Linked DNA regions of Rhinolophus ferrumequinum. The protein of the gene in region 3 purifies or fractionates together with the protein of the main gene of each other region. This does not show direct contact. Links are inferred from orthologs where the notes say so. Each region holds a gene or a part of one and is shown on either strand. Other genes may lie near its edges. The genes, in order: SMARCA2, ARID2, BCL7C and ARID1A.

Region 1 (7,582 bases), on a different chromosome or scaffold from region 3:
CCACTAAAATTACATAACAGCCTGTGCAGACATTAAAGAAGGCATGGATTCTGCACAACACCCCCACTTCCCTCGACTCCCGAGCCTTGTTTTCTTCTCTTAAAAAATCCAAACCCTGGCAAGACCAAGTGAACGACTCTAAATACTTATTTTATTGCTAGAGTAAATCCTGCGAGAGTTGAAGGCACGTTTAGGCCCGAAGTTTGAAAGTGCAACAGCCCCAGAGCGCAGCGACTCCACTCTCCGGACCCGCAGGAGAAAGAAATGACAAGCGACAACAGCCAGCAAGGCCTTCGCCTTCCTCCGCATGATGCCTCCCTCTAAAGTTTTCCACGCGATCGATCGGAGGGAAGGAGCCCGTTTCCTCCGCCTGCCTGACTGCAGGAAAAGAGAGCGGGGAGACGGGAGGGAGTCGGCAGGGAAAGTGCTGGAAAGCTCCGCACACAACAGGCGGCGGCGAAGGTTGCTTACCTGGGCGACGCGGAACAAAAAGAGGAGCCGTGGCTGTGCAGCTGGCGACCCGAAGCGGGTCTCCCCGCCGAAGCCCTAGGCCTGCGCGGGGTCCCGCGGCCGGGCCCCCGCCGCCGCTTCCTCCCTCGCGCGCGTCATGTCACGGCGATCAAACATGTCTGTGTGCGCTTCGCTGCTGTGACTTCCTGATTCTCTGCCGCTCGGGCGCGCACACTCACACTCACAGCCACACGCACACTCCACCCCAACCAGCCCCCTCCTCCAAATCTCGCCAGGTCTTCCCCGAGCTCCGGGGGAGGGCCCGCGCCCTGCTCCCAACGCACTGGACCCGGCGCGCACAAAACACACACACACTCACGCGCAGACACCCTCGCGCCCGCTTCGAGGGCGCCGAGACGCAAGCCGCCGGAGCTCGCCGCCCTCTCCTACCCCTCCACCCCCCCCACCCCACTTAGCTGCCCTGCCAAACTTTTTTTTCCTGCCTGATCCGCGTCCAACTTCCCTCCCCCAACCCCCACCCTAGCAGCCCAGCCAGCCCCGCGCTCACCAGGATCCGCCGCAAACAGCAACCCGGATAAAAATAATAATGCAATCCTGGCGGCCGGGGCAGGGGCGAGCGCCCAGAAACTGGCAGGAGGCGATTTCCCCGCGTGTACCGGAAACCGGCCCGAGTGCCCAGACAAGGGCGCGGGTGTCTCCGCGAGCCCGCACTGCTGCGCCCGGCCCCTCTCGGTGCAACTACGCCCAGGCTGCGAGGCCTGGTGCGGGGCACCCTTGGCACTGGACTCTGTGTGCGCCCCGCAGCCGGAGGGCGCCTAGGGGCTGGCGCGCCGGACCGGTTATTTGGGGAAGTGCATCTCGACACCTTTGCAGATGGCATGGCCATGTTTTGCAACACAAACGGGAGGAGGGAAGAGGGCCGGCCGGATAGAGGGAAGAGCAGAGGAAAGGGTAAAAAAGGTTGGAATGGGAATAAAGCAACTCGAAAGCAGGGAACGAGAAAGAAGGGGTGCGTGTCATCGTTGGGAGGAGGCTCCCATCGGGTCTCCCCGCCTCCAGCCCTCGCCTCCCCCCCCCCCCCATTGCTTCCCCACCCCCCCAACCCCCCGCAGCCCTTCCCCTTCTCCGGCGAACGCCACCGCTACTGCCGGCGTGCGCGCGGGTACTGTTTGTGACAGGCAGAGAGGATTATCTGGATCATGGCCTCCCGGTCCGCAACCACCGTGGCTCTCCCGGGCCCCAAAGCGCCCCTAGCACCCAGACGATTTGGGGCGATCTATGCCCGCGGTTCCCGCGGTTCCAGCTTGGGGAAGGCGCAAAGCAAAACAAGACAAACCCGGGTGCAGGGGGAGGAAGGGGAGGAAGGCAGCGTAACTGAGCCCGGCTGGCACCTCCGACCTCCTTCTTCGGTGCCTCCTCCCTCCTTCCCAGCAGTGCGGCCCGGGCCCGACACCCCGAACTTCAACACCCGAGCCCGCGCGGCTGCCAGGTACCAGGGGCAGGGACGCCCGCAGAGCCCCGGGCACAGCTCCGCGGCGGCCCCTTCCCCTAAAGGCCTGCCTACGGGTCAGCATTCCCATCCCCGCCCGAGGGAACGCGCAAAGTGGAGGTGACACCTCCGATCCGACACGCACAGACCCCGCGGCGGTGGCAGCCTTCTGCTCGGCGCGCCAGCTCAAGCTTCTCCTGCAGGGTTCCGCTCAGGTCTCCGCAGCCGGAACCCTTTAAACTAGTCCCCGGGAAGCGGGTAGCAGCCGCTTTGGTTGGCGCCCCGCCGCAAGCCCGGGCTCCTTGCCTCCTTCTCCCGCTCCTCTTCCAACTCTTCCGGGGAGGACTGCTCGGGATGAACTGTCGCGTTTCCATCCTCCTCCTGTATCCTCCTGCCTTCCCCTCCTTCCCACCCCCCACCCCCTCCGGCTTTTAAGGGGTTGGGGGGGGGACTGCAACCTTGCCGAGTGTGTGTATTGCAACCTTGAGTTGGCAGCGCATCGCTGACTGCCTACCCAGGGTCAAGGCTGTGGTTTGTTGGGAATTCCCCCCCACCCCGCCTCCTTGAAGTAGTAATTATTACTGTTATTATTAGAACAGCAAGGTTCGGTTGAAACTTTCCCGTTTCTTCCACCGCCGCCCGGGTGCTGTCGTTAGAGCATTCCACCTGAGGCCCGCGGGGAGGAGGCGGGCTTTTTTTGTTGTTGTTGTGGCGGTTGGCCCGCCTATTTGTTTTGGTCTCTGTGCATGCACAATAAATAATAATTAGGATAATAATGAATAATCCCCGGCGAAGGCGGCGCGGTGCCAGAGGGGTTTGTGCGGCGGCTGCAGCCGGGAGGCCGGAGGGAGGGGAAAGAGGAGAAAGGAGTTGTAAGTTATATTTACCTTGCTCGCGAGGAGTGTGCTGGCTGAATCTCTTCCCTCTCTGAGTCACCCAGAGTACAGAAACAGAGGGAGAGAGGACTAGATTATGAATATGACTTCATTGATGACAGCCATCCCCTCCTCTTCCTAAACTCCGGCTCCGCCCCGCGTCCCACCCTCAGCCTCCTCCACAGGCGCCGGAAGACGCGCCGCAGTTGGCCCCGCGCGCCGCTCCTCCCTGCCCGCCCCAGCGCGGGTTGGTGGGACGCGCCTGTCACTCGACCCGCTCAGCGACTCCGGGAGCTCGGGGGGAGGAGGGGGCGGTGTGCAAGAATGTGGACGGAGACAGCTCTACTGTATGCGTGGATCGGTGTGTGTCTGCAAGGCGCCGGCTCTCGAGCCGTGGTTGTGCCTGGAGCAGAGAAACTGCGCAGGACGCAGAGAGCCCCAAGGCTTGATGGAGCTGGGCGCCCGTTATCCCTCTCCGGGTAGACCTCTTCCAGGGGCGCTGCCGGGCTCCTCCCGGGAAGCTGGGGAAGCGGAGGAGGCGAAGCGAAAGGGGGAGGGCAACCGTAGTAATAGCGTGTAGTAGTTTGGGGGTATGTGAAGAAGGTGCTGGAATTTAACGGTGCCTCCGCCTGCCAGAGCGAGCCTGCAGAGGGAAAGGGAGGGGACACGGGTAGGGCTCCGAGTGGCACCAAAGCGGTTTGTGGCATAGTGTTGACTGTGGGGGGGGGAAGGCATTGTGTCGGCTGAAACTTTTTCCTCACTCCCCCCGCCCGCGACCCGAGGCTGCAGTTATAAATCGGCCCCCTTCTCCCCCATCAAAAGGAAGGAGGGCACAAAGAACATTCCTGCCAAATCTACCTCTTTTCTAAAGGACTGCAAGCTTCCAAATGCCAATGAGGGGAAAACAGCTGAGAGGCTGAACGCCTTATAAATAAATAAACCCGCCCTAAACCGTCTGTTTACTTTGTGGACCAGACACAGCACTTTGACCTCCCTCACTTGTCATCTTCGGTAAAATATATTCAAAAATTTGGAAAAACAACCCTGTGGGGGCAGGGCGGGCGGGTTAGGGGGCAGTTTAAGCATAGAATCTGCTTTTGATTTAAGAAGGGGAATAAATCTCTTATTCTCTACAGACCATAGAATCTTCTCTCCCACCCCACGTTTAAGACCAATTAGGGCTACAAACAGTAAACTGCTGGCACTTTGCGGTTTTGAGACCTCTTGTTCCAATTTTCCTTGAAATACAGTACTTTGGCGGGAGGAACAGGTCAGTGTTTGCTGAGACAATTTTATTTTTAGTTTTATGAAGTGTGAAAGAATGTTAGATTTTAAAATCAGGGGCCTATTATTTTAGACTCAGATTAATGACGGTGCTTGACTCTTAAAATTAAAACTGTTCCTATACTGTACTGTTCTGAAAAATATGATTTATCCCTTATTTTGTAATGTAATGGTTTAAATTAGTCATTCAAAGTGCACAGTGACTACTTGGTTGAGGATGTTTCCCCCTAGAGTAAAATCCTATTTTAAGGCCATTTTACTGTTGCAAAATTGACTCTATTTGAGCAATCAGGTCTGAAATGCAATTCTAGGATGCTTAAAACTATGCAGTGGGTACACTGAAGACACAAAGCAATGAAAGAACACCAAATGCTGCATGTGGTCATTAAGTGGCGAGAATTGTTCACTTTGCTGGTCCACTGCTTGAGGAAGGACAGTCTGCAAGGGCACCACTTTCAGGTGGCTAGGTGTGTCAAGGATCACCCACCCTGTTGTTTTTCTAAGGCCCTGTTATCTTGCTTGTCAACTTGAGCTTCATAATTTTCTGCCTATCCCAAAAGTGAACCTCAAGACAACAAATATAACACATCTAAGAGAAATAAAAAACAGTATGCACTGAAGAATCTTTTGTGAGAACTTCGTTTTCTGCCTGAGGATATGCCAGTATAACTGTTAACTGGGAAATACACAGCCAGAAGTCTTAAACAAAATTAGCAATGTAGTAAAAGTATAACTTCTAACTGCCTATTAAATTGCAACTAATAATATAGCCGGATAATCTAGTTATCTACAGAAGGACTTTAACCTTATGGCAATACTCATTACATTAGGTAATATTAAGTTTTAATTTTGGTGGACCTAATTTGTTTCTCTGCCATGTCAACCTCACAGGCCAATTTTTAGAAATTGATGACTTTACCATTATTTCCTTGCGCATAAGTGCCCTTTATCCTTTTAAGATTCTACCTCCACCTGCCATGCCAAATTTCAAAAAGAGAACAATCATCTTAGTAAGAAACTGGAGTAAGAGATTGGCCATTTTTTTCTGGCATTTTGTTAGAAGGAAAGTAAAGAAGAAAGTTGCCTTTGTTCCATGTATATATTCTTCAGCTAATACAAAAGTTTGATGCATTACCTGGAGGGATGGGTATCCATGCATTATATGCAAAACTATGGGAATTGAAAAATAAAATCTATGATTGGGAGCAGAGATTAAATACAGATATTCCATCTCCTTTTCCCTTCACATTGGTCTAAGAAAACACCACCTTATTTCAGGTCTTTTCTCTAAAGAATCGTCTTGTTTGTAGCTTATACTGTAGCAAGTAGGAATATTATAAAACAAGACCTACACTTAGAAAAAATCAAAAGGCAGCACCATTCACTCATTATGAAAAGATTGTAGAACATATAGCGTGAGCTTTATCTCTGATGTAAAGCAAAACTTAACAACTGATGTTAAGGAGAAAAAAGATGAGGTTTTTTTGTTTTGCAGAAAATCACACAAAAGCAAACATGGTTGGAGGTTAAAAAAACTGGGAGGCCGCACAGGATGCTATATTCACATGAAACTTTTCCTTTTGGACTTAGATGAGTCATAATGCGTTCTCTGAACTTGCTCTTTCTAGTTTGGGATCAAGGGCTAGAAGTCACTTTTTCATGTCTGTATGGCCACGTTCACTTTTTATGTAAGTCTGTTATGGTGGACATTCTGTATACGGTAGATACTGGGTTTGAAAATCGGTATCACAACACCCTCATGAAGAAAATTTCCATGCACAAAGATAGGAATCTTCTAGTCCCACTAGGCAAACTATTAACGCTGACTGAAAGAAATGTTGCCTAACTTCAAATGGGCTTGAAGGTAAGACCATTTAAGGCATGAGTGCTTCATCTGCAGTAATGGAAACGAAACTCTGACAAAGTGAACAGTTGACATTTAATTTAGAGAGAGTTTAGAATTAGCAAGTAAATTTATTGCAGAAATAAACACTCCTCTCTATCCTTTTTTTCTAGTCAATCGTCTCAGAAGATTTTGTTTCTCTACAATCACTCCTCCAAAATGCCACCCCAATTCTTTTTGTGAGCATATTACTCTCTAGCTTAAAAGCTTTTGTCTGTTCCCAATCCATCATAGGATAAATTTCAGATTTCTTAGCGTGTCATCCATCCAAGGCAGTGTGCATGGACAGATCTCTCTGCTAGGCTTGTTCTCCTTCCCCAAATGCCTAAGCTCTGGAAACATGGTCTACCACCTGGTTCCTAAGGGGCCATATTGGACATACATTCCTCTGACTGAAATACAGGTTCTCAGTACACATACTCCAAGAGTCAGCTATGGCCCAGCATCCTTCCAGTGGCCCTCCTTGCCCTCCTTAGGCAGAGGAAGCCACTTATCCTATTCTGCTCCCATAGCAACCAGTGTGTATGGCCGTTACAGCACTTATCACTTTGATACGATTATTTGCTATCCTCCACTAGATGGTTGGTGCCTGGAGGGTGTAAAGCAAGTTCAATTCATCTTTGAAACTTCAGCAATTAGCTGGATGCCTAGCACGTTGTACAGTAGTCCCCCTCCAAATCCAGTTTCGTTTTCAATGGTTTCAGTTGCCTGGAGTCAATCCTGGTCCCAAGATATTAAATAAAAAATTCCAGAAATAAACAATTCATAAGTTTAAAATTGCACTCCATTCTGAGTAATACAATGAAAGCTCACGCAGTCTTGCTCTTTCCTATCCAGAATCATCCCTTTGTCCAGCGTTTCCATGCGGTATACATTCCCCATATGTTAGTAGCTTTCTAGACAATCAGGTGGACTGTCACTATATTGCAGTGACTGTGTTCAAATACCCTTTAGTTTATTTAATAATGGCCCAATATCACAAGAGTAGTGATGCTGGCAATTTGGGTAAGCCAAGGAGAAGTCATCAAGTGCTTCCTTTAAGTGAAAAGGTATGTATGTGTAGGAAAAAACAGTATAAATAGGGATCGATGCTATCTGTGGTGTGAGGCATCCACTGGGAGTCTTGGGACATATCCCCATTGGCAAAGGGGGACTACTGTATATTGTTAAAGAAAAGGAAAAAAACTGTTGAATGAAAGGATGAGAGACATATATTAAAACTGTCTGACAGAGAATTTAGCAGGTCTTCATTACTAATTATCATGTTAATGAACAAGATTACTAAGTGTTCTGAAGCTTTATGATGTTTTCCAAGCTGAAATGCTGATGATATGTTTTTCTTTTGTTTCATTTTGTTTTGTTTTGGTGGGGCATGGAGAAGGTGGGAGGTGAGGAGAATCAACTGCTCTTGCAGTCAAATAAAGAGCATTGAGAGGAGGTTTTGTTTGTTCGGATCTTAAATTAGTCTCAGAAAAACATGAATGCTTACTTGATAATTGTGTGATAGAGTAGTATTAATTACAACAGCAAGTCTCTTTTAATGAGTTTTAAAAATCGTCT
Region 2 (7,066 bases), on a different chromosome or scaffold from region 3:
CCTAAAATAAACTTCAAAAATTTCTCCAATGAATTGACGTATTAATTCCTCAATTAAGTTTTTTCAGCTGTTGTAATCATATACCTGACATGCTTGTTTTGAAATTTGGTAAAGCTTTCTTTTTAAGTTTACTTGAATGAATCGAGGGAATTTTAAACATCACAACTTCTTGGTTATATATTAAAACTGATAAGGATCAGAGATTTATATAAAATAATAGAAACCTCTAATTAGGGTGTTCGGGGTTTGCAGTTACTATTAAAAACAACACTTTGCATTTTCACACCAAAAAGGCTTGGCCAACATTTCTCATCAGAACAGTAAATTATACAAATATAGTTTCAACAATTTCCAGTTATTGGTAATTTTTATAGGGATGTTTTCCATTAATGCTTGAAAACTACAAAGTACATTTCATTTTTTATATCTTATTAAATTAGAGAATATCGTAAAACTGTCGGACATCTCTAACATTTCTTTTCCAGGATCCACCTGCTCTATGCTGCCCACTATAGGAAACGCAATATGGTACAAAGAAATGTTACACTACCGGTATGCACTAAGGTTACTTTTAGTGCAATCCCATAAAAAATATTCTCTGGGTACTTTGAGTGCTAAGATAGGGTATTCTTGCAAGAGATAGGCTGATTAGTGGTAACCAAATTTATTAAATATAAAGAACATCAGTAGCAACAGACATGATCAGTAACTGTATCTTGGTAATTCACACACCAGGAGTAGCAATCTGGGTGTGGCAAAGGATGGGGCATGGAACTTTGTGATTGAGGCGCAAACTGCATAAAGATGCAGTTGTGCGTCAGAAAAAAAATATGAAGGTCAAAATCAACTTAAACACCTCAAAAAAATCATATAAAAATACAAATGATTGCTGCAACTGAAAATAACATTTGAAATAAATTATTCGTGTAACGCGTATTTAAGTTTCAGCAGAGGAATCTCCTTTTTCCTTAAACCTTTCTATTCCTCTCACAAGCAAATACCGTTAATATATTAAGCTTACTTTTGCCTTTCATTTTTCTAGTATTGGGGAAGTAGAACCATGTAATAATCTTACAAATATCAGGTTTTTTTCTTTGACTAGAGCATATTCAAAGTGTTATTAATTTAAATTCTAGCCATCAGACATCTTTCGGAATCCATTTTGTAGATGACAGCTTCTTCTGCAGAAAAGGAATTTTTTTTCAGAGTCCATTCTCCAGTTACATTTTAAATTTTTAAAGAAAGGCATTAAAACGTTACTATCACACTCCAGGTCTTTAGCCTTGACACTTGTACTGAAAAGCAAAACACACTATTGTATATACATGTGCGTATATACACAAAAATAAACTAATAGGAAGCAGTCAGTAGCTTAAAAGTGGCTACCTCCCCTTGAAAAACAAAAATATAAAATGTCACCCCTCCATTCTGCCCTTTGAATGAGAGACAAGACAACCAGATTTGCCCACTGCAGAGTGGGATACCAGAAAGGACGTTTCAACGTCTAACCTGAGACATTGTTAACATAGACATTCTAGGTCCCGACTCGTATGACTTAAATTTCAGTGCATGTGGCTTCGTTCCCAATCCTGCCCCATCGACACCATCCAGGGCCCGGGGCCGGACCGCGCGACCACCCGGGGCGACGGGACTGCCGGAATCCGCGCGTACCGCCCGCTCCGGGCAACACGGCTCCCCGGCTCCCGGCCGACCGCGAGTTCCCGGAGCAGTGGCCTCCGGAGATCCTAAACCCACGACTCAGACTAGGGTTCCCGACAGGGCCATAGACTGTGACATTTAAAAACTACTAAAAAAGTCTCGCTGTACAAGTGGCGCGACAGAGAACCTTGCTGCCGTACCGCGTCGCCCGGTTCCTGTCCCCTCGGAGCGGGCCGGGAGGCCCAGGCGACCGTCCGCAATATCGCACTCAGCTCCCGAGAGCGTAGAAGAGCAACCAAAGCCACCAAAGACGCCGCGGCAAGTCCCCGGAAAAGTCAGCCGCAGCTTTCTCTTCTCTCCTTAGTTACAATTACCCCCGGGGCTTCTGGTGTTTCCTTCGAAAAAAATTTAAAAAGTAAAAGAGGTGTTAGAAATCGCTGACAATTTCTGTCGAAGGAGATCCCCTCGGCTCCATCACTTAAGCAGGATTTCCAAAGTCGGATGCATCCTCAGCGGAGGTATTCCATGTTGACAGATCTCTCGCCTCCCACAAAATGGGGCCGAGGAGGCGGCCGCTGTCTCCTCTATGGGCGCCGCCATTTTGTGAGGCGGCGGCGGCGCGGCGGCAGGAGCCCGGGGTGTGTGTAATGGTTGAATAGAATGACCCCCTCTAGGGAATCCCCGGCGCTGACAGTTACGTAAGGGGCTGTGCACAAGTGCGGCGTTTAGGGAATCCGCACAGCCCAGGCCACGCAGCTCTGCGGCCCACATCTCCACCACCCCTAAGAGGACCGGTTGGGGAAAGGACAAATGACCAGGTCTCTCCCTCCTACCCCGCCCCCCTCGCCTCCGTGCGGCCCGGCATCTCCACTCCCCCCGGACGGGTCTCCGCCCCTCACAGGCTTCCGAGACATTCACTGGCCCTTGGGTGTCTGGAACCTCCTAGCCACAGCCTTATTCCGACCCCACTTAAAAGATAAACTTTACTTGAGAAATAAATCCGTTTCCTAGAGTGAGCGCCGGAAGCAGACTGGACTATGTTACATAATTTTTCTCACCACCAAATAAATGTTCCCATTGGAACCACCACCTGAAATAATAACCCATGCAGACATTTACTAGCCTGTGACCTTGGATTAGTCAGTGACTTTGCCCATGGTGGCAAAATGGGAATAATAATGTTTCACATATTGTGAAGCATAATTAACACTTGTAGCAAAGGGCCCACTCCAGTACCCCTTGCAAACTTAGGAGGTAGTATTTGTTGAGATGTTGAATCTCCCCTTTTAAGCAGCCTTTTTTTAACCTTCAAAAATATCTAAACGAGGATCGCATTTAAGACATTTGAGAGAAAGGAAAAACATTTTCAATATTTAATATTTAAGCCCATCTATCTTTAAGATACTTAATATAAAAAATATAAACGTTAATCATTATTGTCAAAGTTCAAAAGATTGCTTCCCAATCAGTTTAATTACAGTTTGCATAACTCAGCATAGAATAATCTAGTTTAAGACCAAAGGCAAGATGAATTAAGAGCATTACTCTATTTCCACAGAACTAGGACAGTTCACATTGTATTTAATTTATAGTTTGCTAAAGTTAGTTTGTGGATAATTCGTGGAAAATGTGCTAACCAGGCCCCAAAACACCAGTACAAGGCTCAGAAAAGCCGATTCATTTACACCTTAAAAAAAAAAAGGGTAACAAATTGACTTTATTCCAATCTGTGAACGATGCGTAGCGTGAGGAGCTGCCCCTCTGAGCTTCCTTTCCCTCCCGAGCGCCACACCGGTTCTGTCGAGCGGGCGGGGGACTCCCAGGCAGCCCTTCCAACAGCCGGGCCAAGGACGCGAACATTGCCTCCACCCCTAACCCTGGAACAACCGGTAGTGGCCGTTTCCCCGCACCGCCCCCCTTTCCGCCGGCTTTGTGTGCGTGTGAAATGTGCGGCACATTGCAGATGAACCCTAAACCCGGAGCCGAGTCTATTGTTCCCCGCGAGGAGCTGCCGGGGCGGTGTGGAGCCAGGCGCAGTGCCGCGGCCGGCCCTCGGGGGTCGCTGCGCGGCGCTGGCAGCCCGGCCGTGGCGGCGGCGCTGGCGGCAGCAGAGAGGGAGGCTGGCGGGGAGGGAAGCGGGCAGGCGGCGCGCAGCGGCTCGGCTGCCGCCGGTGCCTTCTGCCCGGGGACGCCCCGGCCGAGGCCGCGCGTGAATGTGTGCGAGGGCCCCGCGGAGCTGCGGCCGGAATACACGCTGTCACCCCGCTTTCCACAAACCACCACACAGACCTCCCCCTCCCCACCCCCAGCCCCGCCTGCCCCAGCCCCGCCGCCGCCGCCGCCGCTGCCGCCGCGGCCGCCGAAACTCCAGGGCCTCCGGTCGCCCCGGCCCCTCACCGTCGGCTCGCCTTTCCCCTCGCTCGCTCGCTCGCTCGCGCGCCCCCGGCAGCAGCACCATGTTGAATCGCGTCCCCAGGCCGAGCCGCCTGGATCGGCGGCGCTGAGAGGCGGGCGAGAGCCGGGCCGCGGGGAGGGAGGGAAGGAAGGGGTGGGGGCCGCGCTCGCCCCGCGGCTTCGCGCGGATCCGGCAGTCGCCTGCCCCTCTAGTTTCGCTCCGATTTCTTTAAACTTTTTTAGAAATTCCCCTCCCTCCTTCCCTCCTCTCCCCCTGGCCTCCTGCTCCCTCCTTCCCCTCCTCCTCCTCCTCCTCCCCCTCCCTCCCTCCCTCCCTGCGCCGCCGCCGCCGCCGCCGCCGCCGCCACCGCCGGCCCATGACTGAGCCCCGCCGCCGCCGGCCGAGGAATGGGCTCCGGGCTCTGGTAGGAAGCGCAGGGAGCGGGGGGCGCTTTTAAAACACCGATCTGGGTTTTTTTTAAAACCTCCTTTGAAAAAATAATGGCAAACTCGACGGGGAAGGCGCCTCCGGACGAGCGGAGAAAGGGACTCGCTTTCCTGGACGAGCTGCGGCAGTTCCACCACAGCAGAGGGTGAGAGCAGAACCGGGGGGGCAGCGCCGGGGCGAGCCGGGGCGAACGGGGCTCTCCCGTCCGGGCCGGGCGTGGGGTCCCGGCTGACAAGTGCGGGGCTTTCTCTTTCCCGCAGGTCGCCTTTTAAAAAAATCCCTGCGGTGGGTGGGAAGGAGCTGGATCTTCACGGTCTCTACACCAGAGTCACTACTTTAGGCGGATTCGCGAAGGTGAGTGGAAGTTTTAATTTGTATTTCCCTCTCGCTGGCCTCCTCCAAAAAGTCTCCTTTGACCCCGGAGTGGGCGCTCGGGGCTAGGGGGGTGGCTCGCGGGGGTAAAAGGCGTTCTTTTCGCTCGCAGCCGGTGGCACGGAGGCGGACGGCGGCGGGGCTGTTTTTGGCCTGGTGGCTCGCGTGCGCGCGGCGGGCGCGGGGCTCGGGCGGGCGGGCGGCCCGGCGCCGGCTCGCGCCCTGCCGGCTGCCCCGCCGGCCCGGCGGGGTCTGAGCGCCGCGGCGGGGAGTGCGGGCGTGCGGGGCGCCCGCCGAAGCCCCGCGTCCGCCCCGTGCCCGCGCCCGCCCGCTCGCTCGCGAGTCAGTTCTGCCGCCGCTGCCGCTCTAGCACAGGCGGAGACACAGACTCTGAGAGCAGTTTTCGTGCAACTCAAAATTAGCGCGGGCAGGTTTAACATCGATAATCGGCTGCGAAATGATCCCGGCAGCCGGGGGCACAGCCTCGGCCCCGTCGCCCTCGGTTTATACAGCTAACAAAAGAAACCAGGACCTGTCTCCAAATAGCCATCTTAGGCTTCAAGGCTAGGCAGAAGCTGTAGGCCTCAAAGAAGGGCCTATGGAGATGGATAGATCTGGGAGAGGGATGTGAATCGGCCCCGGCCCCGGCCCCCCCAGAACCTGCGGACGTCGCTGTCCGGAGCAGTATTGATCCTTTTGAACTTTTTTTTTTTTTTTTTTAGTGTAAACCGACCGCGTTGAGATTTAAAAGGGGGCGACAGAGGGACTTGCGATTGGTTATTGTCCGGGCTTCAAAAACAAAACAAACCCACCAGACACCCCCCACCCCCCAAACAAAACAAGTGCCATTAAATACAGGGTTCCTGGGTGAAAACACAGTGATTCAAGCAGCTCTTGCTTAGTAACTCTTACGGATCGATCCGAAACACCCATTGATGCCTGGGTATCTACAGATCTCTGTAGAATGGGTATTTATTTCATAGTTAGGTTAGAGTTTTCTTGGATTGTGCATTTTCAGACAAGCGTGGCTGTGTTTTTAACAGGTTTCTGAGAAGAATCAGTGGGGAGAAATTGTTGAAGAGTTCAACTTTCCCAGAAGTTGTTCTAACGCTGCCTTTGCTTTAAAACAGTATTACTTGCGGTGAGTAGTAGTGACTCTTGAACAGTATTTGGAAATAAGGGACTTATGGGGAGATTTGTTTTTAGGAAACACACACACACACACACACAAACACGCGCGCGCGTGCGCGCGCACACACACACAAACACACACACACACACAAAACAAACCTTGCATACCAGTTTCTAAACTTGTTCATTTCAATCTGGGAAACATTAAATATCTATAAAGTGAGGTTGTAGGATCGTGAAAGTTTTCCCCACCTATTTTTGTATTGTTTACATTTTTCATACAGAATTATTACAGGTGACACCCCTCCCCCCATCTTGATAAACATTCTTTTGTGACATTGTTATTGATTGCAGAGGAGCAGAAAGATGATGCTTAGTAAAAGAGTTAAGATAGTTAATGAAACTTTGTATCCCCTGGGAATTTTTTTCTTTGTTTTGGAAACTCCTTTGCCTTTTTAAATACTGACTTTAAGATTTTAGAAAAATGAAACCTTTTGTGTGGAACCGTGTCACTGAGTAGTTTTTCAGTAGAATATTTCTATATAGCATAACATAACATGTTGGTGCTTTAATGACTAGGATTGTTTTTAGAATATTTTTTTTTTGAATTAGTAAAAAATGTTCAAAATGATTATTATATATTTAGGAAAATTAGGGATACTATAAAAGGAAATACTATGATTTGGATTTTCTTTCATTTTCCCCACCCCCCCCTTTTTTTTTACTTTTTTTAAACCAAGTAAGTTTCTTATTCAGTTGGTATGTGATACAATTTAGATGATACATTTTGTGATTTAGCTTTATGTTTTTCTCCCAGGCATATTTTTATACTGTAATTTATTATGAGGTCATCTTTTATTTTTAATGTTTACTTACCCATAAAGGGTCCTTAGTTGGTGATTGTTATTTAAAACTAAAATAATGCTCTTCATATTTATTATTTTTTAATAATGATATTATGGGATGGTCGTTTTTAGATAACGTGGCTTCTGCATCATTTGAGTTTGGCATTTATTGCTCCAAATGCAATATCAAAGTAGATATTCTGTGTTATGTCTAGCA
Region 3 (7,740 bases):
GTAACAGACATTCCCTGAGTCACATAAGCCCCCAAGCTGTGGGAGCCCTGGGGAGGGAGCCAGGCACCTGGCTACAACCCAGGAAGAAGACACAGGACGGGCATCCAGGTGGGATCTTGACAGGTGAGTAGGCAGGTGGGCAGATGGAGCATGTCTTAGGCAGAGGGAACATATGCTGAGCAAGCACAGATTCTGAGCAAGCACAGAACCCGGGCTCGACTGCCTGGGTTCAAACCCTGACCTTGGGCAAGTGATTTCATTTCTCTGGGCCTCAGTTTTCCCATCTGTAAAATGTGGATAATTATAGTATTTACCACTTAAAAGTTGGGAGGATTAAATGAGATAATACAGGTAAAGCGGGTAGCACACTGTCTGGCACATAGTAAGTGCTCAGTAAATGCCAGTTACTGTTTTTATGTCGGTAAAGATACACAGGTGCATGGCCCAGTCTAGACACAGCCCATACCACACCAAGTCATGGTGTCCTGAAAGGGGACAACAAGGTCAGCAGGGAACGGCTCACACGGCCCAGGGTGCCAGGATGAGGAGCCAAAGGCCACAGAGAACCATCGGAGGCTTTAGCTGCAAAATGACCCTGTCAGACTTGTGCTTTAGATAAAATGGCTCTGGCCACTGTGTGGAGGTGACTGAAGGGTAGGAGACCCTACAAGGAGGCTGAAGTCAGGTGTGGATGACCGAAGACAGAGCCTGGGCAGGGCCAGGCAGGTGGACAGTTGGCAGGTGGTACTGACCAGACAGGAAGGGGATTGACTCTGGAGAAAAGAGGAGCTGAGCGGGACTTAGGAGGCTGGCTCACCAGCTGCGTGAGCCTGGGCAACTGACTGTACTTCTCTGGGTGTAAATGGTGATTAAAAACCCTCACGGGGGCGGGGGGTGGTGGTGGGTCGTGAGGATTAGATGAGATAACACGTGTCAAGTGCTTAGAAGGGTGCAAGGCATGTGCTAAGAGCTCAGTAACGATCAGCTGTTATTATTAATGACTCAGGATGGTCACTATTATGTTTTCCGCAACAACCATTTATTGAGCACCTACTATGTGTCCTATGGTGCTCTGAAGTGAGCAAGGTCAATAGGAGCCCAACATTCAGGAAGCAGACGTGAGGTGGGAGGGGGGAAGAAAGACACTTAGGTACTAAAAATTAAATTTGCGTGAAAAATCCCACAGTGATACGTTATGTAGAGATCAGACGAAGTCAAAGGAAGGGACCCAGTGGGGTGTGGAGTGCGTGTACGGGGGTGAGCTTAAAATTGGGAGAGGACAAGACTTGAGAGGGCAGGGCTCCTGAGAGGCACCTGGTCCTACCTCTCTCCTGGCCCAGCCGTGGGGGCTGAGCTTCCTCTGAGACCCCTTCCGTTGGTCCAGCAGGTGACGCAGGGCGGCTGGGTTGGGGAGTGCCGCCAGGACTGGGCTCGGTGCCCTTTTGCAGGGAGCCTTCCGAATGGAAACTCTGGTTACTGTTCTCATCTGTGGGAGCAAAGGTGGAAAGGGTTGGGTCTGAGGCCCGCAGCCCCCTCCTCCCAAATCCCAGGATCCCTACCTACCATTGAGATCCAGCAGGATGAGAGGGCCCCCTCCTCTGGGACTGGCACCCCTGCCCCGCCGCTCCCGGCCTCTGGACCTCTCTGCCCCGCCACCTGCCCTCCGTCGTTCCTGGCGATTAGAGAGGGAAGGCTCAGAACCCGCTTTCCAGTTACCACTTGCAAAGCCCCCACTCTACAGACAAGTGAACTGAGGCACAGAGGAGCAAAAGGCCCTGCACGAGAGGGCAGAGAGGCGCACACTGGGTTAGGTCTTGAACTCCAGGGTCTGGCCGGAGCAGGAAAAAGGGAGAGCCAGCGGAGGTGCGCGTAATTGTTAACACCTGTCTGGGCAGCTGCTCTGGAGGTCTCAGAGTGCGTAGTGGGGGGGGAGGCCAGGATGGGGAGGGCCCTGCCTGTGGCGGCACAGACGCAGGGTCTGGGCTGGGGGGGTTTGCTCACCTCCTCCTGGGGGTCCACCACTGGCACCCACTTGAAGATACGAAGGGAAGTGTCGCCCACAGTCACCCAGCGCTTCTCCCTGTGGGAGAGTGGGGGGACTGGGTCAGAAAGGCCAGAGGACAGAGCCCCCGAGCAGCTGGACACATCTGGGGATACCTGCAGAGATCTGGGTGGTGCAAGAGGGAAGGGGCAGTTCTGCTAATGGGGCATAGAGGGAGAAAAGAGCCCCGCAGACCCCAGGGCATACATGGGGTGTCTCCAGTAAGAGCGTGGCTTAGGGCCATGGTTCGCAGACCCCTGGGGTATACTTGGGGCTCGCGGCCACGAGCCTGGCTGGGGATGCGGGCATACTTGCGGGAGGAGTGTCAAAGCTTTAGGAGGCGGAGCAACCGCTCTGAGAGGGCACGGCTGGGGAACACGCTTTGTAAACCCCAGGGTGTAGCCAGGATAAGGGGCACAGAGCCCTGTAGACCCAGGGCGCAGGTGGGGGGACCGGGGGAAGCGCACAGAACACCTGGGGCCACAGCTGGCAAAGGGAGGGTAGACGCCTTTGGAGGAGGGGCGGCCCCGCCATGTCCCGTCCCTGACCCCGGGACAGCGCTCACCATCTCCGGACCTTCTCGATGGTCGCCATCACCTTCTTGATGTCATCCTTGGCCCGGCTCCGGGTCTCGGCCCGCACAGTCCGACCGGCCATGCTGGCTGGGCTGGAGCCGAGGCCCAGCCCGTGGCTGGGCCGCCTCCCGTCCGGCGGGCTCAGGCTCGGCGCCAGGCCCGGGCGCCGCTCGCTCTGCCAGTCGTCCCTCCGGGAGTTGGCCGCGCCCTCCCTCGCTCCCCAACGCCTCCGCGAGTCCCCGCCCCGCTTCCTGCCGCTGCGCCCCGCCCCGGCCCGTCTCCGGAGCGGCCCGGCGGCGCGGACGTCCTGAGCCCAGGCCTGGCAGCCGCCCGGCCCCGCCCCGCCCCGGCCCGCCCCCTCGGGGCGCCCGGACGCGCAGCGCCCCCTGCCCGCCGCCCAGAGGGAGGTTGCCGGCAAGCTCCGCGAGTGGACGCGCGCGCGGCGGGGCTGAGGGGTGCGTTCAGACCACGTGGGCGCCAGGGGCGCGAGAGGGCCGGTGTCCCGGTGTGCGTCCGCTGCGCGTGGGCGTCCCTGAAACGCCGTGAGCGTGTGCGTGTCCACCCTCGCCAGACTGTCCAGTTGTACACTGTCCAACTGTTCCTTTAGCCATTCATTCAACAATCTATTAACTGAGTGCCAAGTACATGCCAGACGCTACATATGAGTGGGACTCCACCCACCAGAATGGCTAAAATGACAATGACGGACCACGGACCATGCATGCCAAGGGTAGGCGAAGAAGTAAAGCAACTTGGGCTTCTCACATTTCTGGGGGAGAGTAAACTGGTAGAGACAATTTGGAAAAGGCCGTTTTCTAGTGAAGCCCAGCATACACCCCAACCCTATGACCCGGCAATTCCACTCCTAGGTCAGTAACACCCAACCGAAAAGCGTCGGTATGTTCATAGCACCATTTATAATAGCCTCAAACTGGAAACAACCCATCAAGGGGAGTGGAAGAAGCCTATTCACGCCTTGGATGCAGCAAGGAGAATGACGTCCGGTTACACCCAACAACCGGTACAAGTCTCATGAAAGTAAAATACACCAGTACGTACTGTATGGTTCCGTTGATCGGAAGCTCCAAACAGACAAAACCAATGTATGGTGTGAGAAGTCAGGCAGTGGTCATCCTCAGGATTGAGAGGAGCTCAGAGGGGGCTCTGGGATCTGATCATGTTTCATAACCTAGGGCCGGTTCCCTGCAGGTTATTTACTCTGTGAAAATTCACGGAGCTCTACAGTTAGGAGGTGTGCACGTTTCCCTATGTACATCATACGTCAAGGAAAAGTTTACTTCAAAGGAGCGTGTCTTGGTTGGTTTCATTTGAGGCTGTGTTTGCCAGCAGATAGAACGCGTCTAAATTTGTGTTGCTATGTGTGTGCGTGTTTCAAGAGTGACTATTGTGCCTGTGCGGTTTGGTGTGATTTTGTCCACAGGGATTAAGGTGTAGGAAGGTGGTTATGACAGCATTCCTGGAGCCAAACTGCTGGGGGGAACCCCATCTGCTTGTCCAATGACCCTGGAGAAGTCACTTGTCTTCATGGATGACGTGGGAATGAGTTAAGCAGTGGATCGCTCTTAGAACAGCGTCTTGTACGTCATACTCAACACCCAGTAAATATTCGCTGTTAGTAAGTGTGTGATCGTGCTTGCTATCAACAGTCTGGCTTCACTGCACCTGCTGTGCCCTCTCCCTTCATTCTGGCAATATCCTCACAGACACACAGACCTCCTTCCCAGGCTCTTCACTCACAAACCCCATTACTTGTTGTCTGTGGCCTCCCCCATCAGACTGTGAGCTCCTCAGAGGACCAGAGACCAAGTATGAAGCACCTCAATACCAGGGCCCAAAACAGAGGGGCCCTGGTGTTTGTCTGCACCAGGTTAGTGGGGTTGGCAGTGTATGACTTCCTGTACCTGTCTCTGAAGCTTGTTCCTGTGTAAGAATGAAAGTCTGTATGTAGTAGAAATACTACAGTATTTCTATGTAGTAGGTGTGTCAGAGGGGTTCTCTTACTGAGCCTGGTAAAGTGAGAGGAGCTGGTGTATCTGTCCCCCTCCTGGTAGCTGTGACAATGAGACCAGCAGCACAAAGTATCTAAGGTAGGCCAGGCGTGGTGTGGCCCGAGCCTGAGGGCCTCCACCGGCCTCTCTCGCACCCTCTCTACCCCTGCTTTCCAGCCAAAAGGGAGGGGCACCACATTCCAGCCCTGCCAGCTCCACCCTCTCCTATCTACTCAGCTTTCTCCGAAAAGCAAACCGAGCACCCAAGCCTTGCCCCAGATCAGAGCCTCAGCCTCCTCCCGGCGGGACGCTGGGCTGCCTCCCAGGCCCGGGCGCCCCCAGCATCGAGGTCCCGAGTCCACCATGCAGGCAACCTGTCGCCCTCCTCAGGCCCGTTTCTGGACAAGGCGGCGCGGGCAGGGAGCTGAGCTCAGGAACAAGGAATCTTGCCTGGGGCGGGGGGTGGGAGGGCGGGGGTGGGTTGTTTGGGGTCTGAGCCCTGATTGGTTGCGCCCGGGCCACGCCCCTACCCTTTTCCCCCCTTCTCCCCCTCGGAAGGGGGGCGTGGAGGCAACCGGTATCAACCAGGGGCCAGCATGAGCCGGAGGGAGGGAAGTCTGGGTAAGGGGCTGAAGGGCCTGTGCCGAGTGCCCAAGGGGAGCAGGGGTCCGAAGGGCTGGAAGCTGGGGTCTGGGTCCCCACCACCCCTGGGTCCGGGAAGGGATCGTCCTGAGCGGAGGAGAGCAGGGCCCCGGTGTCAGGTAACAAGCGGTGAGCTGTGGGAAGGTGCTAGCGCCAGAGTTTAGAGGCCTGGGGCTGTGCTTTTAGGGACGTGGGCTCCAGGGTTAGATCACTGGTTCGAGTACACCCTGGGGGAGGGTGGTGGCTGGGGCTGGACGCCAGGATTCTCCTTCAGTATTGATAAAGAATCAGAGCTGGGGGCCACAGGGAAGGTTAGAGTTAGGGGAGGAAGTCTTTGGGTCCCGAGAGCTAGAAACTGGAAAGGAAACTGGAAAGGAAAGTCGAGGCTGTTAAGGATAGGGATAGGCGGTGGGAAACTCAGGCGAGGGGGACGAGTGGGGCGGGGATGGGGGTGGGGGGCGGGGTAGGAGTTGCGGGCGTTGACTACATTCCCCAGCATGCCCTGGGCGCTGCGCTGGGCGTCTCAGAAAATGTAGTCCTGCCAGGGAGCCACCCTGTAGCTTGTGCTAGGGACGGCTGATCGCTGATTCAGGCATTGATACTGCCGGTTACCCAGCCCAGCGCCTTCCACAGAAGGGCCATCAGGGAGGGAATGGGACTTCAGTCTCCCAGTCTGTAAAATGGGCTGAAAGGCACATTCCGATGTGATGTTCTGTGCTACAGAGATGTTGACTTCCACCCACAGTTCGTTGAGGTACAGAGATATGTGAGTCCTACTCTCAAAGGACTCCGAGGTGGAGGCCAAATCACATAGGTCAAAGAGCCATTAAAATAACTACCTTGGAAGTATGAACAAATGGCTTTAAGTAGAAGGAAGAAGTTAATTTAAAGGAGAGGTGATTCCCAGGCTGCACTGAGGAGACAGTATTTGAGTTTGGCTATAATAGGATTTCAACAGTGATTCGGAGACAGGGAACACATTTCCAGTAGAACAACCGTTTGGCAAATGTCTGATGCCTCCTTTCCCCTCAGTTGGAATGGGACAGAGCCTGCCTGGCTTCAAGTTGCACAAGTCAGAGCTGAGCTTCTGGGTTCTGGAAGGAAGAGCCAGCTTGACCAAAGTGGTCAAGGAGTAGGGGTCTGGGCTACCCTCATTCCCCCCCTTTTCCCACCAGAAGACCCCCAGGCTGACTCCTCAGTCTCACCCCTTCCGCTCTTGGAGGCCAAGATCCGGCAGACACACAGCCTTGCCCGCCTCCTTACCAAATACGCCGAGCAGCTGCTCCAGGAATATGTGAGTAGGGCTGGTGTGGAGGAGCCGGGGCCTGGGGAACGCGCAAGTCCAGCTCGTCAGGGTTCTTCACCACCCATTCTCTCGGCCTCGTTTCCCAGCTGCAGAAATGGGGGCTCCTACGAGAGCTCAGTCACTTGCCCCTGGCCACACATTGGAGGCCCATCTCTGTGCCTCCAATGCCCTTCCAGCCACCTCAGCTTGTAGGCTCCCTCCTTGGGGCTTAAGACAGAGGCCGCCTGAGAGTGAAGAGAACTGCACTCTGTGAGTCAGGAAACCTGGTTTCTAGGCTCTGTGTGATCTTGTCACCTCACCTCCATGGGCTTTGGTCTCCCCAACTGTAAAAGGATGAGCTGTGAACTCTTCTACCAGTGCGTGGCCGAGAGACCCAGAAGGGGTTTCAGTACAGGGGCAGAAATTCCATCCCAAGAGGGGACTTTGACAAAGGAGGGGAATCTGTCAACGTCTTTGGTTGGGCAGAAGGCCCTGCCCAGGGAAAGAAGATATTTCCCCAAATGACTCTTGTCGTGGAGGGAGGATACAGTTTGGAATCAGATAGACTGTAGGTCTGCCTGCCGCCATGCTGTGACCTTGGGCAGGGATGATAACCCTAAAATAAGGATGTCACCATTTTGACAGTAAGTAGTGGGATTATAGAACTACCTTTGTAGTCCTGCCGACTTTGGTTCAAATTCCAGCTCTGTCCCTTCCTAGATGTAGGGCCTAGGGCCTCACTGTATCTCGTCAACCGCTACATCTTCACTTACAAAATCATCATTACCACACCCATCATTGGGAAGACGAGGAATAGGGTGTTAGAGCAGTAAGCACAATGCTGAACCCGAGGCAAGATGTTAGCAAAGGATAAATGGTTTTGTTATAGCAGTTTGACAAATTACAAATCACCTTTAACTTTCATTTGTTCATTCAGATGACAGTTATTCATGGAGCCCCTGCTGTGTGCCAGGCAGGTACAGAGGTGGGGAGGAGGAAGGGAGGGAGGGAAACAGACTTGGTCCCTGCACTATCTGTGTGATTCTCAGGAGACGCCTGGTAGGGAGACAGGACAGGGAGTGTTTCCCCATTTTACAGATGAGAAGACTGAGGCTCAGAGAAGGGAAATGGTTTTGTGGGAAACCAAACAGCTAGTAAATGGTGGAGACAGGATTTGCACACTGGGGT
Region 4 (6,920 bases), on a different chromosome or scaffold from region 3:
TCCCAAAGCCTCCGCTGGGGCTGTTTCTGAACACGGAGTTGCAAACTTTAAGAAACAGACAGCTCCAGAAAGAAATCCACGCCAGGCTTTGAACTCTGCTCCTGGCTTCCGTCAACTGACATAGTTGCCCTTTTGCTCAAACTCGCAGCTCCAGTTCGCACTAGAGAGAGCTCTGCTGGGTGTCAGCTTTTTTGCCGCGGTGGGGACGCATGTGGGGGCCACAACTTGGCGCTCCACCGAGTCCCCGCGCCTTAGTTCAGAACCAAGGCAAATCCTCACTGGGTCCCTGGGCTTAAAACATCTTCCCCCAAGAGGAGTGGGTAAAGGAAGGAGCCGAGTTCAATCTTTTGTTTGTTGAATTTTGTATTTCGGACACTTAGGGGAAACAAATTGAGAGAGAGGAAGGGCTGTCCACCCTGCAAACGTTTCCCTCTCTTTGCAAACCCTTCAGGCCTGGATTCCACATTTTGCAGTTGACTGCGTGGATTTAACATATGTTGTTCCCTTGTTCTCGAGCCGAATCCATAAAATGAGAGCACATCCTCTGCCATTTTCAGTCAGTTTGTCCTGGCAGCCCTGCCCCCCTCCTTGGCTGCCGCAGCCACGAGTTATATTGCTCGCAGAAACTCCGCCTGATCCTCCGGGCGGGAAATCCAGTCCACGTTTGCCTAGTGCCGTGCGGTCGGGGATGGTGATAAGAACTCTCTTGTGAGGGAGCGAGCGAGACTTTAGTCCGGTTTCCATGTCAACGATTCAGTCCATATTTGCCATCAGGCTGTTGGTGGCAGAGGCGCTTTCGTGAGGGTACGCGCTGTCCTAGTCCTAGTTCTCTAATCTGCGCCGGGATTCCTGCGCTGCCTGGGTGTGGGGTTAAAAGGCAGGGGCCGTAGGGGAGAAAACTCCACGGAGGGAAAGACCCATAGACCCAAACCTAGGGCTCGCTGCTCGAGCCAGCCACGTGCCCAGCTCCGCCCCTCCCCCCCTTTCCCGCTGCCATTGCCCCTAGGGAAAGCTGATGGGCCAGTTTCTAAGAAAGTTCCCCTTCAACTCCGCAGTCCCTGGGATAATGGTGTGGGGCTCTAAATGTAGGGGTGTAAAAGAACAATAAAGGATTTGAGATTTAAAAAATATATAGTGGAAAAGGAGAAATCCCACGTTACCTCCTCCAACCCAGGTGGATAGATTTTTTTGTGCACTTTACCTCATTGTTAAATAAAAATGGTGGCTGTTTTCTAAACAGCTTGCCCACGTGTAGAAAAGGGATTTTGACACTTTGCGAATTTCACAGCCCTTGAAGAAAAGGGATGAGGGCTTCCTCTGGAGAGACCCATTCTGGCTTCCAGATTTTCACTGGGCTCTGGGTTTCCTATTACACTCAAGCTCTGAGGAAAATGGCAGGATAATTGCATGTAAAAAATTCCTCATTTGTGTGCGGGACCCAGGACTGTTTGCCAGCTCAGAGGCAGTTGATTAAATAGCCAAGCTCCATTTATGAGGCAGCCTATAATTTGGCTTCTAGGACCTAATGCATGGGGAGAGTTGTTGCCCCTGAGGACTGAGTGAAACAGGGCACTGGCCCATTCCAGTCAGTCAGGTCCTGGCGTTTGGTTCCTTCCTAGGAGGGCGGGGTGAGCGAACACCATTCTTAGATTGACAGGAAGGTGTTGTCTTATTAGTGTAGGATGCTCTTAAGTGTTTTAGGGATAGGGATGAGTTCAGGTTTTTCGAATTATTCATGGTGACCAGTGGCACAGACAGAACTCCAGGGGCCTGCAGAATCTGGAAATTCTAAGATAATAGTTCTGTGGCCAAGAAGTCTCCATTTGTAAAAGCTGAGGAGAGAAGAGGCCCTGATGGCTAGTGACTACATGGACCTCGGCTTCTTTTTCCTAAGGCAGCCTTAGGCCTGGTGAGGCGCTGGAATCTCCTCTGGCTTTTGTAGCCTGTCACATCAGAGCATTCCAAGTCAGCCTGAGGAGGAAAAGGCTGCTGCTGGGATTTGGTTGGGCCTGTAGATCCGGCGTTTTATATGTAAGCCTCCAGCTCAATCTGCATCTCTTAGAATGTAATGGTAAAACTTTGAAGAATCTTTTCAATGGAGAATAGAAAACAAATTGGGTTGCATCCATTTTCTCAGTGACATGTCAGACTGCCCTTTTTCTTTTAGCCATTCTGTGTAGCCATTCCTCTTCTGCAGTGGTTCCTTCACTCACATTCCTCCATCCCTTATAGCTTCTTCTGTGGTCTGTTTATAGGCTCACAGGTACTGTACTGGGAGACGGGATATTGGTCACTGTGGGCTATGTTCTCTTAGGAGACAAAGATGAGGCTTGGGTTCAGCTAGAAGGCTGTCATATTTCCCAGAGTAGCTTCAGTGGTGAGCATTTTAAGACAGTATTGAGATGACCAGCTTTGATCTCAAATCCATTCTGATAATCAGATCCCATTGTTGGATATGACACAACTTGACTTTTTTTTTTTTTTAAAGGCTTAAAGGCTAAGTAGACAAGGGCAACTTTGGGGACTCTGCTACTTTTTAAAGCCACTCTCCTCTGTCATCTAACTTTAAGTGATGGAGCAGTCCCTTCCCCTTTCTTTCAATTCCGTAAAATGGGGATAATCCGACCTCATGCCCCCAGGGCCTTGTGAGGACCTGTTACTGAGGGCAAGGGAGAGGGAAAACGGAAAGTCTGAACAATAATATGTCATTATGTCATTACATTAGGCTTGCAAAGGGGTTTAAAAGTAAGGTCCACTCTCTCACTCAGCTGGGTCGTTAGAGCGGGTTTGTAAAAGGCTTTGAAGAAGAAAAGTACGGTAGAAGTGCTAAGTAGCAGCCAAGAGACCAGGCCCACTGCCAGAGGGTCAGGCCTGGGCCTGAGGCGGCCGCGATCTCAGGCTGAGCCAATTCTGCAGACGCGAGTAAAGTTCACGCTGCCCGCTCCCCTCGGTGCGGCCTAGAGGAGACCGACCCGGATAGGAACGACGGGAGGAAGGCGGCGCAGGTTCCGGAAAGGCGCAAGCTCCGGGCCGGGTTTTCCCCGAAGCCTTCGGCGGCGGCGCTGCCGAGCGAAAGCGGCAGAGGGCCTGCTGCCGCCGCGGCTGGTTATCTCCCCTCCTCCTTTGTGAGGGGAAGGGAGCGAGTCCGTTCCACGGCCTGCGCCCGCTCCGCGCTCCGTTCCGGGTTTGCCAGGCGGCCGCGACGGCGCTGGGTAAAATGGCAGTGCTGAGCCTCGTGTCGGAGTGAGGGGGACTCGGAGGAGAGTGGGGCGCTCTAGCCGCTCAGTCCGGCCGCTCGCCCGCTCGCCCGCCCGCTGCCGCGCAGCAGCCTCGGTCCGCGTCGCGGCCGGGGAGGGGAGGCAGGGCGCCCGGCCCGCGCTCCGACTCTGACTCCAGGCGCCCGGGTTGCCGCTGCGCGCCCTCCAGCCCGCCCGTCCCGGGTCCCCCTCCCCCCGCTCCCTCCCTCCCTCCCTCCCTCCCCGCCCCCTCCCCCTCGCCTCCCTCCCTCCCTCCTCCTTTCTCCGGCAGCAGAAAGCGGAGAGTCACAGCGGGGCCAGGCCCTGGGGAGCGGAGCCTCCACCGCCCCCCTCATTCCCAGGCAAGGGCTTGGGGGGAATGAGCCGGGAGAGCCGGGTCCCGAGCCTACAGAGCCGGGAGCAGCTGAGCCGCCGGCGCCTCGGCCGCCGCCGCCTCCTCCTCCTCCGCCGCCGCCAGCCCGGAGCCTGAGCCGGCGGGGCGGGGGGGAGAGGAGTGAGCGAGCGAGCGCAGCTCAGCAGCGGAGCCCCGCGAGGCCCGCCCGGGCGGGTGGGGAGGGCAGCCCGGGGGACTCGGCCCCGGGGCGGGGTGGGAGGGGGGGAGAAGACGAAGACAGGGCCGGGTCTCTCCGCGGACGAGACAGCGGGGATCATGGCCGCGCAGGTCGCCCCCGCCGCCGCCAGCAGCCTGGGCAACCCGCCGCCGCCGCCCTCGGAGCTGAAGAAAGCGGAGCAGCAGCAGCGGGAGGAGGCGGGGGGCGAGGCGGCGGCGGCGGCAGCGGTCGAGCGCGGGGAAATGAAGGCAGCCACCGGGCAGGAAAGCGAGGGCCCCGCCGTGGGGCCGCCGCAGCCGCTGGGAAAGGAGCTGCAGGACGGGGCCGAGAGCAATGGGGGTGGCGGCGGCGGGCCCGGCGCGGAGCCGGACCTGAAGAACTCGAACGGGAACGCGGGCCCTAGGCCCGCCCTGAACAATAACCTCACGGAGCCGCCCGGCGGCGGCGGCGGCGGCAGCAGCGATGGGGTGGGGGCGCCTCCTCACTCAGCCGCGGCCGCCTTGCCGCCCCCAGCCTACGGCTTCGGGCAACCCTACGGCCGGAGCCCGTCTGCCGTCGCCGCCGCGGCGGCCGCCGTCTTCCACCAACAACATGGCGGACAACAAAGCCCTGGCCTGGCAGCGCTGCAGAGCGGCGGCGGCGGCGGGGGCCTGGAGCCCTACACGGGGCCCCAGCAGAACTCGCACGACCACGGCTTCCCCAACCACCAGTACAACTCCTACTACCCCAACCGCAGCGCCTACCCCCCGCCCCCCCAGGCCTACGCGCTGAGCTCCCCGAGAGGTGGCACTCCGGGCTCCGGCGCGGCGGCGACCGCCGGCTCCAAGCCGCCTCCCTCCTCCAGCGCCTCCGCCTCCTCGTCGTCTTCGTCCTTCGCTCAGCAGCGCTTCGGGGCCATGGGGGGAGGCGGCCCCTCAGCGGCTGGCGGGGGAACCCCCCAGCCCACCGCCACCCCCACCCTCAACCAACTGCTCACGTCGCCCAGCTCGGCCCGGGGCTACCAGGGCTACCCCGGGGGCGACTACGGCGGCGGGCCCCAGGACGGGGGCGCAGGCAAGGGCCCAGCGGACATGGCCTCGCAGTGCTGGGGGGCTGCTGCTGCGGCGGCGGCGGCGGCAGCTGCCTCGGGAGGGGCCCAACAAAGGAGCCACCACGCGCCCATGAGCCCCGGGAGCAGCGGCGGCGGGGGGCAGCCGCTCGCCCGGACCCCGCAGGTACACTGCTGAATGGGGAGGGGCTGGGGCGAGCGGGGTCCGGGGAGTGGGTGGCGGCTGCGGGGACCAGGCCACAGCCGTGGGCTACCCCCAGTCCGGGGCCCCCACTGCTGGGGAGCTGCCATTGTCTGGCTCTTCTCTCTTAAAATGGCTGCCTGTCTGCCTTCCTTTCCTTCCCTCCTTCAGCCTTTGTGTGGGGCTTTCCCTGAGGTGTCTGCTCCCCTTCTCCCTCTCCCCTGGTCCCTTTGAACTCCGGGGGTCTTCAAGGGGGTGCGGGGCAGAGTGCGGGGAAGGGGCCTGGTCAGGGGTGAGGGGGTGCTGGAGGCTCAGGTTAGGGGTGCAGGCATTGCTAGGAGCTCAGGTGTTAAGTGAACAATTCTTTGCTCACCTGCCGCTCCTCTCTGCCCCCCCTGCCTTCCTCCAGGCCGTCCCCCATCTGTGCTTTTAAGGAGGGGCCCCTCAGACTCGGGGGGACCTCGAGGGAGGGCAGGGGCCTGCTTGGGGGCAGCTAGAGGCCGGCCGCGGTTCACCCAGGGCAGCTTGGGCCACCTCCTGCTTAGTCTCCTTCGGCCCAGTGGCCTGGGCTTCTCCCTGGAAGTGCTGGTAAACAGCTGAGTGATTGGAGTAGTAAGTGCAGATTGCTTTGGTTTGGGATTTGAATTATGGAGGTAAAATCCTTCTGTCAAAGCCAGGAGACAGTTGGTCTTAGGTTGACATCCTATCTGTGATCTGATTGGCTCCCCATCTCCTGCTCTTGGCCATTTATAATTGCCTCTGATGTAATGGTACAACAATCCTGATGAGCTCATAAACTTTTACACTCTGCTTTTCTGCCAGTGATAACCCAAACCATCGCTGCCACTATCTGCCTTTTATTCCAGAGCTGAAATTGGCTGTGACCTTGAGGAGGGAGGTTTAAGCAGCAATACTGTATCAGCAGGAGCAGAGCCCCAGACAGGCTGCCCTTGTTACATTGTGCCTGAAACAAAAGAGGAGGCAGTGGCATTTTGCTTGTACCTTGGATTTATTTTGCTTGTTATGTTTTATGCAGCCTGAAATAGATTCTGTGTTGTCAGAACAGTAGCTGGGTTTTTCTCTACAATGGGTTTGCTGTTTGTTTTGGTTTTGTGACTTTTCTGATGGTATAAATGACTTCTTTGATGGCTCTGAGGATCCGTTTGTCTTGAGTAATTTTGACCCTGTTCACTTTGCAGAATTGAAATTATTTTACTGGATTTTTTATTGAGTGCCAAATGTAGGGTCTTTATGGGAGGAGATAATAGAAAACTTTTTTTTTTTTTTTTTGAGAACTAGAAGCTTTCAGAGAATTTCATGTTAGGTTCAAGAGTTCTGTTTTAAGGAAAGCTGGCCTCATTCTTTGTTTACATGTTGAATCTTAACACTCTTTTGTTAATTGAATTTTGGTAAAGCAGCTCAATTTAAAGGGAAGCTGACATCTTTCATGATCTTGAGAGGGAGTTTATCCTAAAGACTTGGCTTGGTGTTCCTGGAATATCAAAAAGGCTAGTTTTCTATTTTGTCATTTTAGAGCTTTAAAATAGAGGACAACCAATTTTTTTCTTTGCATTTTAAGGTATGTTTCTTTTTTTTTCTATATTGCAAGATAAAAAGATAGGACCTACAGTGATACTTAAAATTTGCTTAGAAATTACAACTTTCAGGTACTTTTTTATGCGTTCTCTTTTATTTTGCGATTTTTCCCTCTTCATGTTCTGTTTACAATGCTTTGATCAGAAATAGTGGGTATTTTATGGAGTCATGTATCTTTGCAAAGAGGAGGAAGAAAGCTCCAAAAGCTCCCTGCATATTCCCCTCCCAGCAGTACTCAGTTTACCTTTGTGGTACTAGGCTCACTTAGGCAGCTAATTAGCTGTATT

The links.
Region 1: the proteins of BCL7C (region 3) and SMARCA2 purify together in Homo sapiens (affinity purification with mass spectrometry; 4 studies listed by BioGRID and IntAct, counting the BioPlex papers as one, with this or other methods). This does not show direct contact. The link is inferred for Rhinolophus ferrumequinum from reciprocal best matches to the Homo sapiens genes BCL7C and SMARCA2.
Region 2: the proteins of BCL7C (region 3) and ARID2 purify together in Homo sapiens (affinity purification with mass spectrometry; 3 studies listed by BioGRID and IntAct, counting the BioPlex papers as one, with this or other methods). This does not show direct contact. The link is inferred for Rhinolophus ferrumequinum from reciprocal best matches to the Homo sapiens genes BCL7C and ARID2.
Region 4: the proteins of BCL7C (region 3) and ARID1A purify together in Homo sapiens (affinity purification with mass spectrometry; 5 studies listed by BioGRID and IntAct, counting the BioPlex papers as one, with this or other methods). This does not show direct contact. The link is inferred for Rhinolophus ferrumequinum from reciprocal best matches to the Homo sapiens genes BCL7C and ARID1A.

The regions. Positions count from the first base shown.
Region 1 is NC_046295.1:33,833,281-33,840,862, forward strand, and holds the start of SMARCA2 (probable global transcription activator SNF2L2), read right to left. Parts: upstream 3,003-7,582; 5' UTR 2,848-3,002; intron 2,230-2,847; exon of another isoform or gene 2,106-2,229; intron 1,362-2,105; exon of another isoform or gene 1,019-1,361; intron 866-1,018; exon of another isoform or gene 472-865; intron 1-471. UniProt on the Homo sapiens protein: ATPase involved in transcriptional activation and repression of select genes by chromatin remodeling (alteration of DNA-nucleosome topology).
Region 2 is NC_046293.1:47,892,975-47,900,040, forward strand, and holds the start of ARID2 (AT-rich interactive domain-containing protein 2), read left to right. Parts: upstream 1-4,063; 5' UTR 4,064-4,554; coding exon 4,555-4,646; intron 4,647-4,761; coding exon 4,762-4,855; intron 4,856-5,916; coding exon 5,917-6,014; intron 6,015-7,066. UniProt on the Homo sapiens protein: Involved in transcriptional activation and repression of select genes by chromatin remodeling (alteration of DNA-nucleosome topology). Required for the stability of the SWI/SNF chromatin remodeling complex SWI/SNF-B (PBAF).
Region 3 is NW_022680357.1:424,638-432,377, reverse strand, and holds the start of BCL7C (B-cell CLL/lymphoma 7 protein family member C), read right to left. Parts: upstream 3,014-7,740; 5' UTR 2,699-3,013; coding exon 2,607-2,698; intron 2,081-2,606; coding exon 2,002-2,080; intron 1,673-2,001; coding exon 1,564-1,672; intron 1,487-1,563; coding exon 1,325-1,486; intron 1-1,324. Other genes in the region: CTF1 (cardiotrophin-1), read left to right, coding at 5,222-5,246, 6,443-6,561. UniProt on the Homo sapiens protein: May play an anti-apoptotic role.
Region 4 is NC_046292.1:18,273,842-18,280,761, forward strand, and holds the start of ARID1A (AT-rich interactive domain-containing protein 1A), read left to right. Parts: upstream 1-3,906; coding exon 3,907-5,022; intron 5,023-6,920. UniProt on the Homo sapiens protein: Involved in transcriptional activation and repression of select genes by chromatin remodeling (alteration of DNA-nucleosome topology).